3 linked regions of the Macaca fascicularis genome follow. The protein of the gene in region 2 purifies or fractionates together with the protein of the main gene of each other region. This does not show direct contact. Links are inferred from orthologs where the notes say so. Each region holds a gene or a part of one and is shown on either strand. Other genes may lie near its edges.

Region 1 (3,747 bases), on a different chromosome or scaffold from region 2:
AAAACACATAAACTCCACCTACCTAATTTTTAAAAATTTAGAGATTCAACTGCGCCATTCCAAAAGGAACTGATCTTCAAAGACAAGTCTGAGACCAATCAAATCCTTACTTTTCTAAGTTCCACATGGAATTCGCCAATTTAAAAGCCACAAATTCTTATCTTTACAACTAATGCAGCACTTTGTTCTAAGATATCCTTTTACTATATTACCAAAGTTCTTGTCACCTTTAAAAGATTTCAAACTTTTCAGTTATTGTCAGAATGTTTTAAAATGACATACATAATAATTGTTACTTTTTTTTTTTTGAGACAAAGTTTTGTTCTGTGGCCCAGGCTGGAGTGCAGTGGAGCAATCATGGCTCACCGCAGCCTCAACCTCCCAGGTTCAAGCAATCCTCCTACCTCAGCCTCCTGAGGGACCCTCACCATAACCAGCTAATTTTTTTTTTTTTGCATTTTTTGTAGAGATGGGGTTCTGCCATATTGCCTAGGCTGGGCATGATTTTTTTTTTTTTTTTTTTAGAGGGAGTCTCGCACTGTCACCCAGGCTGGAGTGCAGTGGTGCGATCTTGGCTCACTGCAAGCTTTGTCTCCCGGGTTCAGGCCATTCTCCTGCCTCAGCCTCCCAAGTAGCTGGGACTACAGGCGCCTGCCACCACGCCCGGCTAATTTTTTTGTATTTTTAGTAGAGACGGGGTTTCACTGTGTTAGCCAGGATGGTCTCAATCTCCTGACCTCGTGATCCACCTGCCTCGGCCTCCCAAAGTGCTGGGATTACGGGCGTGAGCCACCGCACCCGGCCTGGGCATATTTTTAAAACCCCACAGTCCACAGCATTAAGTTTATTTACCAAGTCATGGGTCAATTTATGTAAAAACAACCTGAGATTGAAAAACAAAATATCTTGGTACTAATTTCCTAAACATTTATATGCAAAAGCAAGTATTTGTATTTGTTAAAACTCCTACTACGCTGGAAACGCAAGTAGGGAGGATCTATCTCCCACTATCTTCAAATAATGATCAGAGATAACACTTTTCAGGCATTACCGCGCACTGTATGCTCCATAGAATCCTTGCAATAACCCTATCAGTGGAACATCATGCCAATTCCATAGATGGAGACAAAAAGCAGTTAGGCTAAATAAACCTGCTGTAGGTCACACATCGGTGGCCCCAGGATCTGAACACAGGCAATCTGGCACCAAAGCCCCCTCAAAGAGGTTGCTACCTACTAAGGCAGTCAAGACAAATTACCGTTTAGAAAGCAGGGAAGCTGGGCCCGGCGCGGTGGCTCGCGCCTCTAATCACAGCACTTCGGGAGGCCGAGGCAGGTGGATCACTTGAGGTCAGGAGTTCAAGACCAGCCTGGCCAACATGGAGAATCCCCGTCTCTAATAAAAATACAAAAAGCTAGGCTGGGCGCGGTGGCTCACGCCTGTAATTCCAGCACTTCAGGAGCCCAAGGCGGGTGGATCACTTCAGGCGGGAGTTCGAGACCAGCCTGGCCAACATGGTGAAACTCCGTGTCTACCAAAAATATAAAAATTAGCCGGGCGTGGCCGCAGGCCCCTGTAATCCCAGCTACTCGGGAGGCTGAGGCAGGAGAATCGCTTGCACCCGGGAGGCGGAGGTTGCAGTGAGCCAAGACTGCGCCACTACACTCCAGCCTGGGTGACAGAGTGAGACTCTGTCTTAAAACAACAAACAAAACCAGAGAAGCTACCACAAAAACCTAGTGCCATGGTACCGCATGACAAAGCTAGGTTCGGTGGAAACAAGGAAAACCAGCTCTTTAAGTGAACTCTGATAAACTTCATTCCTGGGCCTCAGTCTCTGTCTCAGGGAGAAAAGGAGCACCACAGGCTGTTTCAGGCCAATGTCCCCAGATGCTACACATCTGGCAAAATCTGCCCCTTAATGGTCACCTAGCGGCGCTGGAGTGGGGAAGCCCTAAGTTTAGAAAAAAACAAAGAGCGGTAGGTGGAGGTGAGACCGCCAAGAGACAGCCGCCAAGCCAGCCTCCAGGAGGCGCCAGGGCTCGCGCGCCCGGCCTCGCAGGGAGCCGCCAGGTTGGGGCTCGCACGCCCAGCCGCTGCCGCCGCCTCCGCCCCTCGCTGCCGGCCCCTGCAGCCCGGGCTCCGTGAGCCCGCCCGGGGGACGCCTGCTCGCCCTTTCTGCCGCCACTGACCGAGCAGCCCGGTCCGGACCGGGCTCCTAGCTCTCACCCCTCACCCTCACCGCTGCCTGCGCGCTTTCCGCGGCCCAGGCTCGGCGCGCCCAGCCACGATAACGCACCCTCCTTTCACACTCACCGGCAATTGCAGCGTCCTGTCGCTGGGTGCGACCGTCATGTCGGAATCCGAGTCGGAAAGCTGCCCATCTTCCATGTCGCCAACCTCCAACGCCATCTTCCTGCCCTGCGATGAGCTGCGCGGCGGAGGGTCAGGAGAGCACTTCCGGCGGTGCGGCCGGAAGGCCCGGCGGCGCGCCTGTTTGGGCGCCCCCGCACGGAGGCCAGCATGTTGCAGCGGCTTGAGGCGTAGCCATTGCGTTTCAACTACCGCGGGAAAATGAATCCCTTGTTCCCCCAACACTTTTCTTTCGAACTTTATTTTCGTGCAAACAAAAATATGTCACGAATCGCGGTCGTCTGGGATTCCCCCCTTGGCCGTACATCCTTCGCCTGTATGCTCTGGACAAGCCTCCTTGCTTCCATTCTTGCTCCTCCGCTACCCACTCTACATATTGCTTCCAGGGAAGCCTTTCAAGCGGTATAGTCCGCCCTCTGTATCCACTCCCTATCCACAGATGCCAAACCTGCGGATGGGAAGGACGCACTGTGCACCACCACATAATATAAGGGGGCTCGAGCATGGCCTATGTTGGTATCTGTGGGGGTCCTGAAAACAATGACCGGCAGATACCGAGGGACGATTGTACCTTAGCTGGAATCTTCCAAGTGCACCCCTCCTCAAAACAAGGACTGAGTTCTCAGCATGGTGTTTGAAATGTTTGTTTTTCGGTGTCATAAAGAAATAGCACTTGAACATAAATTTAATTTATTGAGTAAGGCCATTTTTACTTTCTGCAGAAAGGGTACGCCCACCAGCAGTTTTGCCAGGAGAGTACACTGAACAAAGGAGACAGGGTCATTTGTAAGCTGAGGCGTTTACCTTACTGCTGTGGCTGGTTTTTATTGGCTGGAACAGGACCTCACATTTTGTATTCCTCGGGATTGGCTAGCAACTTGGAACTTTTTAAAAGAGGCAAAGGTAGAGGAGAACAAAGGAAGGAAGAAGTACCTTGTGGAATGTGGAGAAAGACAAAAACACTTTTAAATAAGGAAGAGGAACAGGCTATGACCTAATGCTTGCTTGGACTAGTATAAGCATGCCAGGGCAAATATTTAGGCTAAATTGTGGGAGATAAGAACATAAAGTACATTTATTTTATTATAGCTAGCAGATATTTAAGAATGTTAGCACAGGTCTTTGAATAAATTTTGCTTTTAAGAGAGGTTACTATTTATTCCTAATTAGATGGGGAGGAAAGTCTTTGAAGAGGAACCTCTATTTTACTTTTTACAATGGCAAACAAGGTTATGTGGACTGGGCACCAGGTCACTGGTCCTGGTGTGTCCCCCTGCCCAGCCGCGGGCGCGCTGAACCTGTTGTTCCTCAGGCAAGCCCTCTGCATTTGCTGTTCACTCGGCCTGGAAGGCCCTTCCCTCAACCCACCCCATT
Region 2 (3,647 bases):
GAGATCATCCCATATCAGCATATGTAACACTCCCTCATTCTTTTTATGGCGTCATGTTTACTCTTTCTTGAACTGAAATTTTAGACACCCTGAATATTCTTCTAGGTTGAGGTGTCTCTTCTGGATGTTCTTTTAAAATTAATAAAGTACTCAACTGATAGGCTACGTGCAAATAATGATCTCAGAATCTTTTTTTCATGTACAGAAAATGTTACTGTTATAAGTAAATAAGCTTTTACATTCTAAAATGATAATGAAAATTATTTTTATCTTTATAGTTTGAATCAGCTTGGGTACTGACAAATATTGCTTCAGGAAATTCTCTTCAGACCCGGATTGTGATTCAGGCAGGAGCTGTGCCTATCTTCATAGAGTTGCTCAGCTCAGAGTTTGAAGATGTCCAGGAACAGGTAAAAATGAAACAAAAGGAAGCAGCTGAAAGAAATTTTTCGGCTGGGCACGTCGCTCATGCCTGTAATCCCAACATTTTGGGAGGCCGAGGTGGGTGGATCACAAGGAGTTCGAGACCAGCCTAGTCAACATGGTGAAATCCTGTCTCTACTAAAAATACAAAAATTAGCTGGGCGTGGTGGTGTGTGTCTGTAATCCCAGCTACTTGGGAGGCTGAGGCAGGAGAATTACTTGAACCCAAGAGGCGGAGGTTGCAGTGAGCCGAGATCGCGTCATTGCACTGCAGTTTGGGCAACGAGAGCAAGACTCCGTCTCAAAAAAAAAAAAAAAAAAAAAAAAAAGAAACAGTATTTCCCTTCAGTCATAATAAGGGGCTGAGTTTTGCCAGTTGGCTTTGGTAATCTATGGATTGTCACAAAGGAGTGTTCTAGAAATTTAGTCTTAATCAAATAGAAAATGTCTTAGTGACTGTAGGCGGAATTTCTCTTAGACACAAAATAATCTTCCCCTTCCAAACCTGACATTCTTTAAGCCATGTATATGTACTTTTTTAGACCATGTAAGCAGTTACTGATAGAGGTTTTTTCTTGTAGAAATTTCAAGTGTTGAAAGTAGACCAGTTGCTGTGGCTCATGCCTGTAATTCCAGCACTTGGGAGGCTGAGGTGGGCAGATTGCTTGAGCCCAGGAGCTCGAGACCAGCCAGGGCACCATGGTGAAACCCCATCTCTACAGAAAATAAAGTAGGTGGCCATGGTGGCACACGCCTGTTGTCCTAGCTGTTTGATAGGCTGAGGTGGGAGGGTTCACTTGAGCTCCAGGAGGTGGAGGCTGCAGTGAGCCGAGATCACACCACCATACTCCAGCCTCGGTAACAGAGCGAGACCTATCTCAAAAAAAAGAAAGTGGCTAGTCTTTGCTACTTTTGTGCAGAAGGGTACAGAAAACAAACTTCTTTTTGTTCACTGTTTTCTTATGTAAGCAAGAAAATTCTCTTTTTCTTGCTTTCTTGCTTTACTTTGCTTTTCTTTCTTTCTCTCTTTCTCTCTCTCTCTTTCTTTCTTTCTGTCTGTCTTTCTGTCTGTCTGTCTTTCTGTCTTACAATCTCTGTCACCCAGGCTGGAGTGCATTGGCTCAATCTTGGCTCACTGCAACTCTGTCTCTCAGGTTCAAGCAATTCTCATGCCTCAGCCTCTCGAGTAGCTGGGATTACAGGCGCCTACCACCACACCTGACTAATTTTGTATTTTTAGTAGAGATGGGGTTTCACTGTGTTGCACTCCAGACGGGGTGACAGAGTGAGACTCTGCCTCAAAAAACAAAAACAAACAAAAAAGAATTAGTTCTTTCCTTTAATAAACTGAAAACCTCTGTTTATTGTATACTCTTGGATACTACTTATCTTCCCCCCCCAATCCTACAACTATTTCATTTGACTCGCCAATGAACGTGTTATTGTGGTATACTGGCATCTGAAAGAATTATGAGGGAATTAAACTATGTAGCCTTTATTAATGAATGATTCTTTCACAGGCAGTCTGGGCTCTTGGCAACATTGCTGGAGATAGTACCATGTGCAGGGACTATGTCTTAGACTGCAATATCCTTCCCCCTCTTTTGCAGTAAGTTTCTTCTTCCTTCTTCCTTTTTGAGAATAAAAATGTAAGAGATTCCTCAGAAAGCATTACATCTTTGGAAATCATTTTGGATTTTCTAGTGTTATTTTTTATTCCAGATATTTTCTTGTATAGATCATTTCCTCCAGCACCCTATCTTTTTCCGTGCCAAAATTCTGAATTACTTGCATCAGAATTAATGAAGTTTTAATGTTTTGGAGAAAAGCTGTCTGAAGACATCTCTTTATCAAAAGTATTATTTAGTATTTATGTCATCAGATAATCACTGTCTGTTATATAGTTTACCATTGTACCATCGTGCTTGTAGGTTATTTTCAAAGCAAAACCGCCTGACCATGACCCGGAATGCAGTATGGGCTTTGTCTAATCTCTGTAGAGGGAAAAGTCCACCTCCAGAATTTGCAAAGGTAAGGACTATGCTTTTGGGACATTGGCAGAAAAATACAATTAAAAGAATATAGCAACCAATAGTAAGGTGAACAGAAAGATAATTTTTGTTAAAATTTAAAATGTTAGAATTTTATCTGTTTTCAGACAAACAGTGTTGTTTTTGTTGGTTTTCTTTATTATTTAAAAAGCAAATTTAAAGCATAACTTGAAGGTGCACATTTACGAAGGGACTGCAAATAAAGCATAGCATGAAGGAAGAATTTGTAAAGCTTATTGAAATTAGGCTGCATACAATTAGTATACTGTATTAAGAGACTATCCTTTCAGTTCTCTTAAAACAATGGTTCTCAAAATGTGATCTGTGAGTTCTCTGGGAGTCCATGAGATTCTTTTTTTTTTTTCAACAGGTTTTTGGGGAACAGGTGGTGTTTAGGTACATGAGTTACTTGTTGAGTGGTGATTTCTGATATTTTGGTGCACCCATCACCCAGGCAGTATATACTGTATCCAGTGTGTAGTCTTTCATTTCTCACCCACCTCCAGTCCTTTCTCCCTGAGTCCCCAAAGTCCATTGTATCATTCTTACGCTTTTGTGTCCTCATAGCTTAGCTCCCACTTAATGAATGAGAACATCTGATGTTTGGTTTTCCAGTCCTGAGTTACTTTACTTAGAATAATGGTCTCCAGTTCCATCCAGGTTGCTGCAAATGCCATTGTTTCGTTCCTTTTTATGGCTGAGTAGTAGTCTATGGTATATATATCACATTTTCTTTATCTACTTGTTGATTGATGGGCATTTGGGCTGGTTCTGTGCATTTGCAATTGTGAATTGTGCTGCTCTAAACCTGTGTGTACAAGTATCTTTTTCGTATAATGGGTAGATACCCAGGAATAGGATTGGGCATCAAATGGTAGATATACTTTTAGTTCTTTAAGGAATCTCCACACTGTTTTCCATAGTGGTTTTACTGGTTTACACTTCCAGCAACAGTGTAAAAGTGTTCCCTTTTCACCACATTCATGCCAACGTCTATTTTTCTTGTTTGTTTGTTTTTTGGTTTTTTGAGACAGTTTTGCTCTTATTGCCCAGGCTTATAGTGCACTCGTATGGTCTTGGCACACTGCAACCTCCACCTCCTGGGTTCAAGTGATTCTCCTGCCTCAGCTTCCCGAATAGCTGGGATTACAGGCGCACCACCACCACGTCCAG
Region 3 (3,747 bases), on a different chromosome or scaffold from region 2:
GAAAGTAAATAACAAACGGAAAAAGTGCTTTGTAAACTGTCTACACAAATGTAAGAGACCGTTATTACAACACAGAGGAAGAAGCTGAAAAAAGGCAACGTCCTGCACTCCCAAAACTGGCAAAGAAATTACTACAATCACTAAGTCAAAGAATCCTGGCGGGGGAGGCGGGGGCGGGATTCAATTTTCCAACCCAAGCCACCAAAAAGTATTCTAAACGTGTGCTTGTGAGAGACAGCTTTTCAAGTTTGATTTTGTTTTTTCCCTGAAGCCCCTAAGAATAAGTTCTAGAAACTTCAAGATCTCTCCGGGATGACCCTGATAGCAAGCAACTGTTTCCCCTCCCTGGCCCCTGCCAATTTCAGAAAACAGGCACCTTAAAAAAAAAAAAAAAGGCCGGGCGCGGTGGCTCACGCCTGTAATCCCAGCACTTTGGGAGGCTGAGACGGGCGGATCACAAGGTCAGGAGATCGAGACCATCCTGGCTAACACGGTGAAACCCCGTCTCTACTAAAAAATACAAAAAAAAAAATAGCCGGGCGAGGTGGCGGGCGCCTATAGTCCCAGCTACTCGGGAGGCTGAGGCAGGAGAATGGCGTGAACCCGGGAGGCGGAGCTTGCAGTGAGCTGAGATCCGGCCACTGCACTCCAGCCTGGGTGACAGAGCGAGACTCCGTCTCAAAAAAAAAAAAATGTATTAAAAAAAAAAAAAAAAGTCTTAGTTGCCACTCCACACGCCGTACGCGAAAGCCTAGACAGACCCTGCTCATCCTCTATGCGGGTCTGCACAGACACCACCCGTTATATCCTTCTATCGATCGGTCGATCCAGCTACAGACAACTCCCTTACATTCCAATTCTAGGGCTTCTTTCAGCAAGACAGATGCTTTCCTCTGCGAGGCTCCCCGCTGGCCACCAGCCCTGCTCTCGCGACCTGCCGCTCCGACTGACGGGAAACCCCACACCGGGCGGGGACTCCCCAAGGAAAAAAGGGGTCGCCTCCCAACCCGCGTTGCCCTCGCGCCTTCGCCCTGGGTAGGTGAGGCCGAGGAGGCAACCGCGAAAAGGAGGCGGAAACGCCTCCTGCCCGACCCCCGAAAAGTTGACCGCGACCCCGCCTCATGTGGCCCCTCCCAACCCCGTCTCTTTAACTAAGGCAACAGCAGTGAGAGCGCATCATTTAGTTTCGGCGAACCCATCTTTAAAGCACGAAACTACTACGTCCCTTAATGTTGAGTTCTGTGAAACCGTCTCCAGGGATCAAATTCAAGAGTTGCGGCCACACGACGTGCCACATATCTTTACACGGCGGGGGAAGAAGCGGATTACGCCTCCCGTCCCCTCCCCACCTCCGGTCACTGCGACGAGTCCCCAAACTCGCCCGCGGTCAGAGAACCCGCGGCTGACCCAGATTCCGCCGGGCGGAGGGCGGAGGGCGGAGGGCGGAGGGCAGCGCGCGCGGCTTCCCGGAGGAGTGGGCGCCGCCGGAGCAGACAGTGCGCGGACCCTGAAAGCGACCCCAGTCCGCGCCCGTCGCGACGTCGGACGCCCAGGGCCTCGAGGCCGGGGGAGCCCACCCCCCAAAAAGATGAGTTGGCCGCACTGCAGAAAAGTTGGACTAACTTCTCAGGCGCCGATGGCTGCGGCAGGGGCCGAGTGGGACTGGGGGGTCGCGTCCCACGCCGCTGGCCCTCAGGAGGAGGAGCGCCGGGAGCGAAGCGGCAGAGCGCCCCCACCAGCCCGCTTCCCGCCCCCACGAGGCCAGGACGCCCGACTCGATGAAAGCCGAAAGGAGCTAAGCCCCCATGCACACACAAAAACGCCCCTAGAAACTTCAACCCTTCGCCATTTTAAGTAGAAGATTTTAATGATTTAAAACTTAAAATTAAACATTTCCCCAACCCTAAACCGGGGGGGCGGGGGCTAACTTATTACTCCATCCCCGCACACCCACCCAGGACCACCAGAAATCCGATCCTCAGAATACAGGACTGATGGGGAAGGGGTGGGGGCTGAGTCATCTCACCTCCTCCGGGGCTCTGTTCCTTAACTCCAGGTTAATCTTCTTCTTCATCTCCATGTCCTCCTCTTGCTCTTCAGCTACTACTCTCCTTCTTTTCCCTTTCCTGCCTTTCCCAATACCCCCAACCCAAAATTTTTAAGAGATTTAGAAATGAATGAAAAGGAACGCAAATATAAACGCCCACTACCACCAGATAGGTGTGGGGGAGAAAGAAGAGAATAGCAAATGGAGTCCAAGAGTTGGGACTCTAACTCAGCTGCCCCCACCTCCTTGTCCACACACTAGCGCGCGCACTCACACGCACGCACGCGCGCACACACATACACACACACATACACACGCACACACACACACACCCGCAGTTCCTTCCCCTTCAATGGCTGCTCAGAGACTGAGCCTCCATGACACGGCACCGCCAACCCCCTGGCCTACACTCCACCCACCTCCCAAACGTATTGGTTGATTCTTTAGCGTCACATTATTCCATTGGGCTAGGTAAATGTCTATCAGTCTTCAGGGAGGACCTGGACCAGAAACTCCGTATCTATTGGCTACGATCAAGGGCGCAGTTAATTCTGATAGGTCCAGGAGGGTGTACGTTCGGGAGTAATGATTTTGAATCCCAGTTCCCCCCCTACTTTTCTTTATGTAGTTGGCGCGCTTTCCCTGGGCACTCGGACGGTTTTGTTGTCTGTTGGATTTGGTTTTTAGTTTTTGGTTTTTTATTCTGTTGTTAGTGTTAAAGAGGGAGAAAGCATCCTTCCGTGCCCAACTTGCGATACTGATAATTCACCACACGGCATGCACTGGCTCTTGGCCGTTTTAAAAACACAGCCTCTGCTTTGCAGCCAAGGTGTACAGCAACGTGCGCATCACATTAAAAAGATGCCTTGGTGGCATTGTCCTGCTGGGGTCAGGCTTTTCACAGAGGCTGACCTTCCGTGATGCAGAGCCAGAGCCAAGATTTTAAAGATGGTAGTTTAACACTATAAAAGACAACAATTTTGAAAGCTGTTGGGTGAAGTATGTAAGTTAATAATATTTAAATAAAACTATCCTGGAGGAATTGTTACTGAGTTAATTTTTGCTGTAATAAACACTAAGACCTTGGAGGAAAAACAACGCTGGCCTAATGAAAATCAGACATTAATTAGCATAGAAATGGCACAGCAATGCCTCTCTAATTTCCCTTTGGTTGGTTTCCATGGAAATCTGTAGGTAAAGTGTGCTTTTAAAAGTGTTTATCGCTTCTTCTCTGCCTTTTGGCTAAGATCAAGTGTAGGATCTGTTCTTAACAGTTTAATATCTGATATATTTTCTATCCGAGTCCAATATATTAAATGGATTTGGGGAGCAGGAAGACGCAATAGGAGCTTTCTTGTTCACTTAACGCATCCACCTGGTATTACAGTACCTCCAGGAACAGTGCACTCCCTCAGGGGATTAAAATTTAGTGTTCAAGACAGAAGAAGGAAAAAAACAAAACAAAACCAGTTTGTCTATGTGGGATGGGATATGAAAGAGTAGGATAATAATTATCTTTTAGCCGGATGTGGTGGCTCACACCTGTAATCCCAGCACTTTGGAAGGCCAAGGCGGTGGGATCACCTGAGGTCAGGAGTTCGAGACCAGCCTGACTAATATGGTGAAACCTCGTCTCTACAAAAAGTACAAAATACTAGCCGGGTGTGGTGGCGGGCGCCTGTAATCCCAGCTACTCCAGA

Evidence for each region.
Region 1: the proteins of KPNA1 (region 2) and PHAX purify together in Homo sapiens (co-immunoprecipitation; 4 studies listed by BioGRID and IntAct, with this or other methods). This does not show direct contact. The link is inferred for Macaca fascicularis from reciprocal best matches to the Homo sapiens genes KPNA1 and PHAX.
Region 3: the proteins of KPNA1 (region 2) and ANP32E purify together in Homo sapiens (affinity purification with mass spectrometry; 4 studies listed by BioGRID and IntAct, with this or other methods). This does not show direct contact. The link is inferred for Macaca fascicularis from reciprocal best matches to the Homo sapiens genes KPNA1 and ANP32E.

Annotation. Positions count from the first base shown.
Region 1 is NC_088380.1:133,172,000-133,175,746, reverse strand, and holds the start of PHAX (phosphorylated adapter RNA export protein), read right to left. Parts: upstream 2,426-3,747; 5' UTR 2,413-2,425; coding exon 2,317-2,412; intron 1-2,316. UniProt on the Homo sapiens protein: A phosphoprotein adapter involved in the XPO1-mediated U snRNA export from the nucleus.
Region 2 is NC_088376.1:160,795,267-160,798,913, forward strand, and holds part of KPNA1 (importin subunit alpha-5), read left to right. Parts: intron 1-278; coding exon 279-410; intron 411-1,943; coding exon 1,944-2,032; intron 2,033-2,354; coding exon 2,355-2,454; intron 2,455-3,647. UniProt on the Homo sapiens protein: Functions in nuclear protein import as an adapter protein for nuclear receptor KPNB1. Binds specifically and directly to substrates containing either a simple or bipartite NLS motif.
Region 3 is NC_088375.1:111,027,778-111,031,524, reverse strand, and holds the start of ANP32E (acidic leucine-rich nuclear phosphoprotein 32 family member E), read right to left. Parts: upstream 2,417-3,747; 5' UTR 2,081-2,416; coding exon 2,027-2,080; intron 1-2,026. UniProt on the Homo sapiens protein: Histone chaperone that specifically mediates the genome-wide removal of histone H2A.Z/H2AZ1 from the nucleosome: removes H2A.Z/H2AZ1 from its normal sites of deposition, especially from enhancer and insulator regions.